Kluyveromyces lactis: one gene and its partner. The protein of the gene in region 2 binds, or shares a complex with, the protein of the main gene of each other region. Links are inferred from orthologs where the notes say so. Each region holds a gene or a part of one and is shown on either strand. Other genes may lie near its edges.

Region 1 (2,547 bases), on a different chromosome or scaffold from region 2:
AAGAGAAATGGCTCTTGAAAAAAAACAAGAAGCTGAGAGACAAAAGAGAAAGGATATGAGAGACAAGTTGACCGACCAAGAACTTGATAAAATGGAGTTGAAGAAAAGAGAAAAGAGAGAAAGACGTCTGAGAAACAAACAGAAAATGAGAATTTAGAAAGTTCATCACTATTGGGGTTGTTTCTCATTCTCGTCTCTTTATTTCCAAAGCAACAGTTAAAGCTGATCAAGAGAAATATGCTCGTCCAGGTGATGAGCGTTCCTGTAGTAATAACTCTCTTGTCAATCCCCATTTAGTATGAATCATCCAGATCTACTGTCCACGTTATTACTTCAACTGGTAGCGATTGGATGCAACGAACTTTCTTTATTGTTTTCGCAAGTTATTTTAATGTAATTTATGTACAAGTGTATGAATGTGCCTCTGAACCGCAATGGGGACGAGACGTCACGAACAACATCCATGATCATTATTATTTTGTAAGACATTGGTATCTCAAATGATCCGCGTAAGGAGGAAAAAAAAGATAAAACATTTACTATCATAAGTCTAATCCTGGAATCTTCACATTCTCGATAGTTATTTCTTCGTTTAATGCTGACTTAGGAGTTTCTGGTGTCTTATTTTCTTCCTTGGATACCTGCTTAGCCTTCTTTACGTTCTGTTCAGTCTTCTTCACCGTTGATTCGGTTGTTTTTAATAAAGCTGCTGCTGATGCACGTGATCTCTTAGCTGAGGTCAACAGGGCTTGGTCAATATCAGTTTCCTTTAGAATGTAGCGGGCTCCATTATAGTTGTGCAAGAAGTTTCTCATTAGTGAGGGCTTGACATTTACCACCTCGCCGGTATGAAATTGGAACTGAGGAAAATCTTTTAATAACTGTACCTGTACTCTCTTTGTACGTTTGGTTAAGGCAGAAAGACACGATGATGTCGGTCTGAACATTTTGCTGTAATATTTTAAAAGCCCTTGGAGCGTGTGCAGTTATTGGAATAGCACTTCAAACACAATTGACGCTATTTTTAATTCCCTGCTTATGGTTAACTTTTAGATTGATCTTGTTCTAATGTGATTTTAAACTATCAAAAATTTTTGAAGCTTTAAAATCATATCTAAGTGCCAGCCTAGTTAAAAGATGTGTACATAAAAAGAAGATAAAAGATTGGTTTAGCGAGTGACAGCCGTTCATACTGTACTACTCCGTGTTTGTAACCTTTGAAATACTTATTTATAAATGAACTGCGTAATGGATACAATCTAACCTAATACGATTCGCTATAAAGTATTGTATGGGTGTATGGGTGTATGGGTGCTTTCGTTGTTTCAACATCAGTTTTTCGAATTATTCAATCAACCTAAACAAAGCATTCACTAGCTTTTGGTACATTAACTTACATGCATCAACTTGTATAGATGAGACATATCATCTGCTTACCTCCTAGTAGAATAAACTAAGCTACCGCTAGATTGAGATTAAAGAAAAATCAAAATCAAATGTCTGCGGCACAGAGTGGAGCAACGGTTGAACATCAACAGGCACAAACTGTGCCAGTTGCACAACCAACTGACATGTATATCCAACCGTATTTGAAGAAATTAATACCAGAATTGGATGGGCTAAGTAAGTTACAAGAGGCTGAGAAGAGAATTGACATATATTTAAGTCGTAAAAAAATTGATTTGCATCAGAATATTACTCAATGGACTCATTCCAAATACACAGATCCTGCGAATAATCAGTTTGTTCGTGTTTTCATTTCTAATATTTCTGAGAACCAGCCATGGCAGACGAACGATGAGACCATGGAACTTGATCAAGCATCATGGACATTGCGTATTGAAGGTAGACTGTTAGATAATGGGAAGGCAGACGATCCAAATAGGCCTAAATTTTCCTCCTTTATAGAAAGCGTCGCGATAGATTTCAAACCTGTAGAGGAAGATCAAGATGATGAAACTGATCAAGAAATGGGAGACCCCTTATTAGAAGGGACACAGGAACCTAGTGCTAAAAAGCCAAAAAATGAGCAAACCGTTTTTGAATGGCATGTGGATCCTAATACTCCTGTAGAGTTTGACGGTGTTGATGTTTCACGTAAGGGTACTGAAAACGTTAACTGTACCATCACTATCCAACCAAAAGGGTATACAGGGGAGTTCTTACAGTATTCACCAGAACTATCATGTATTGTCGGATTCTCAAAAGGAACCTTTCATGAGGCGATATACTCTCTTTACAAATATATTCTATTAAACAGTCTATTGACGAATAACGACGAGGCGGGACCAAAGGATTCCACAAACGGTGAGAAAGTCTTAGTGAAAATGGATGCTTCATTAGCAAAGCTAGTGTCTCCAGAAAGGCTTGCCGCAGGCATTGTTTCTTTGAAGCTCGCCGATTTGCCAAGTCTAGTGAAAGATCATGTAAAACCGATACCTCCAATAAGACTTGACTATACTATTCGTGTAGATCAGTCTTCCACTTTCGGAGATTTGGTATTTGACATGGAAGTACCTAAATCAACGTCAGTTAAAGGCGACCAAA
Region 2 (3,050 bases):
TTTTTCTCTTTTGTGTAACAAGGGAAAGGAACTTGTATGCATAACTCCGAGCTGAAGCATAATAGAAAAATAAAAGGTTGTATTCTCTGTTTGAATTCTGGTAGTCAACAAGAAATGATGACAACAAGAGTTATATCTGCTTTCCTCGACTAAGAACGAAAGACCTCACGAATCCTTTTTTTTGTTACGATTAGATTTACAGCCAATACAATAACATATGAAGAAGAAACAGCCAAAAAAAAAGAAGATTCTATATATAGCCTCTAGGAAAATATTCAATCAGAGGCAGTCCAAAAAAACAGACGCACATGAACGCACGCACCATACACCGTATTATTACTATATAATTTATTATGTTACCGGGAATAAATGTTAACTAATGATCATATTCTTAATAGATTCGAACAAGCTTTTTAGTTTTTTTTATGATTTGCGTATGTTGCATTGATTTTCTACATTGCATATTATTTACATGAGGTATGAGATATTATTCAGACCACCTGAGGTTGTTGAAAAGTGTGTAATCATATATATCGCGAGAGAGACGAGGAGGAAATAAACTCTTTCTGGAAACTTTCATTTTTTTTTTCATACAACAGATCTACGAACTCTATGGAACACTCTCCCTTCTGGTAATCCGTATTTCTCTCTAATGTTTGCCACGTTAGAATCCCATTCTGATCTCCAAACATGAGCACCAACCGGGTCCAAGTTGTGGGAACGAACAAATTCTCTAATATCGAAGTTTTCTCTATCGACTGGTTCAGGGGATTCCAAATCACCATTCTGTCTGAATACCCATACAGAGAACCTTTGCTTGCCAACATTTTTCTCAGGTACTGGAGGAATGTAATCTGCAAGAATCTGCGATTCATTGTATTTTCTTGGATCTACCACGTTGTCGTTATAGTCTATCTTTAAATTAGTCAAACCGAACGCCAAAGTCGTCTTGAATGTATCATTCAACACATCCGGTTCATCTGGATTCACAATTACCACAGTGTATTTTTGCTTTTCGAAGTCGATACCGTTCTCGTACTCTTGAATCTTAATTGTTGGAACCATCGAAGTCGTGTTGGAGGACAAAATTTCACCAGGTTCAACCCATTTGTTCACACCAGTACTGAATGGGAAACGTAAATTAACCTGTACTCTTGGTTGTAAAGTAGGTAACGTATCGGGGATTACACTCAAAGTCTCTAGTCTTTGCATTAACAACATTTTTTCGTAGGATTCCCAATGCTTCAGCCCCAAACGCCTGTACACTGGAACAGCATAATCTATCACTCTAGTATCGTTCTCTAACTTGTCATGATACTGAAAATTGTATTGGACCTCTGGGTTATGCAATTCAGCCTCTGTTTCTAACTTAGCACGTACCTTGGCATCAGTCTCATTTTCTAGTTGCGAATACTTCTCTTCAGCGCGCTTACTCATAAACTCATAACTCAAGCGGAACATCTCATCAATATGTTCAGGAGAGGTATACTTCAAACGGTTCATCCTCCGCTTCAAAGACGGTGGACCTCGTCTTCTAACGTCATCGCTGTCGCCTTGAAAGATGTATTTCTTAATCGATTCTGATGCTAAACCAAGCGACTTGGATCTCTTAGAAAAGTCCGACCATACCCCGGTTTTCTCTAAACATTTGGCACTGCTGTGCAACCCTCTACGCAACATTCTCCAATTCGAGTTGTTAGTCTCTGAAACACCCTCCAATGGGATCCTACAACTGATTATTCATGTATCTTCATTGTCCGTTCATACTTAAAACTCATCTGAATCGTTCGAAATCGATTTTTCACCAAAAAATTTTAATGTGTTTCAGTCCGGGTAACAGAAGATCGTGCCTCTCGCTCCAAGTGGAAGTTCAGAGATCAATAACTGGTAAGCTTTGCCTTTGAGACTGCCATTCGGTTTCATATGTTGCAAATGACGCTCTTCTGATCCAGCGAACCCATCATATCCATCTTTCTTTGTATATTTTCTTCTTCCCTTTCCTATATGCGGATTATAATGATCATTTATGTTTGAAACGACGAATCTTATATGAGAATGCTCATCGCGACATTGTTTCAGATCTGTAAAGACAAGATGCCTCAACTTTTTCCTGGTATAAAGACCCTTTGCCAATCAGCATTGTAGGTTTACTTCTCATTCCCTGTATTATCCTGTATAATATTCAAAAGCTTATTAAATCAAATATGAACGGTTCAGAACCGAATTCTACAGAGTTAAGGCACGATGTCGAGGCAGTTACCATACTAATATCTAAACTTCAAGTTTACTCGCAGTTTGATACACAAACTCCAACAGAGAGAGCTTTTCCCTCTATGTTCAGCTCCGATTCTGATATAAGCGACTCAATTGACTCTGATGTCGGAGATCAGCTAAAGAGACGGTCTTCTTCAATACTGCGCAAAATGTTTAATAGGTCAAAGAAACTACTGCCAAAACTACACAAGAGGTGAAACGTATGAGCAGTTGTGCTGCTGGATAATGGAGGAGCTTCTCTTTTCATACTACTCCGTCTTATATCAAAATTTCTACGCTCACTTCTGAGCTTTTCAGCAGGGAAGGTAGAAAAAAATTTTGACACATTGACGAAAACAGATTGATAACACTTAAGACCTTTGATAAAGCTTTGAATGACACCTACTCTTTGATTTCATATTGGATTTTTCACTATATAAGACAACTGGGGTGATATATCCAGAGAACCAATTAGGTATTGGAATAGTTTATACCTGATTCACTGAAAGATGGCTGACGTTAAGATTCAAACTCTACCAACCGACTTTAGGGCCAACCATTATGAGATTGAATTGAGTGAGTTAGATGCTGAGCACAATTCATTTATCGGATCCGTGCGTATTATTATGTCCACTGTTAATGCCAATGACATGATTTCATTGAATATGAGGGACATTGAGATCGTTTCTGCGGTGGTTGAACTGAAAGAGGGGTCTGTGTCTTTGGGAATGAAGGACCATAGTTTCGATTTAGAGAACGATGTTGTTTCCTTGAAATTTCCGGAGAGTATATCTGAT

Evidence for each region.
Region 1: MRPL35 (region 2) and MRPL50 share a complex: the UniProt entries of both Saccharomyces cerevisiae proteins name them as parts of the mitochondrial large ribosomal subunit. The link is inferred for Kluyveromyces lactis from reciprocal best matches to the Saccharomyces cerevisiae genes MRPL35 and MRPL50.

What each region holds. Positions count from the first base shown.
Region 1 is NC_006039.1:791,479-794,025, reverse strand, and holds MRPL50 (mitochondrial 54S ribosomal protein bL9m MRPL50), read right to left. Parts: upstream 948-2,547; coding exon 543-947; downstream 1-542. Other genes in the region: KLLA0_C09086g (uncharacterized protein), read left to right, coding at 1-157; RSC6 (Rsc6p), read left to right, coding at 1,497-2,547. UniProt on the Saccharomyces cerevisiae protein: Component of the mitochondrial ribosome (mitoribosome), a dedicated translation machinery responsible for the synthesis of mitochondrial genome-encoded proteins, including at least some of the essential transmembrane subunits of the mitochondrial respiratory chain.
Region 2 is NC_006040.1:1,119,575-1,122,624, reverse strand, and holds MRPL35 (mitochondrial 54S ribosomal protein mL38), read right to left. Parts: upstream 1,681-3,050; coding exon 589-1,680; downstream 1-588. Other genes in the region: KLLA0_D13079g (uncharacterized protein), read left to right, coding at 2,205-2,471; KLLA0_D13068g (M1 family metallopeptidase), read left to right, coding at 2,763-3,050. UniProt on the Saccharomyces cerevisiae protein: Component of the mitochondrial ribosome (mitoribosome), a dedicated translation machinery responsible for the synthesis of mitochondrial genome-encoded proteins, including at least some of the essential transmembrane subunits of the mitochondrial respiratory chain.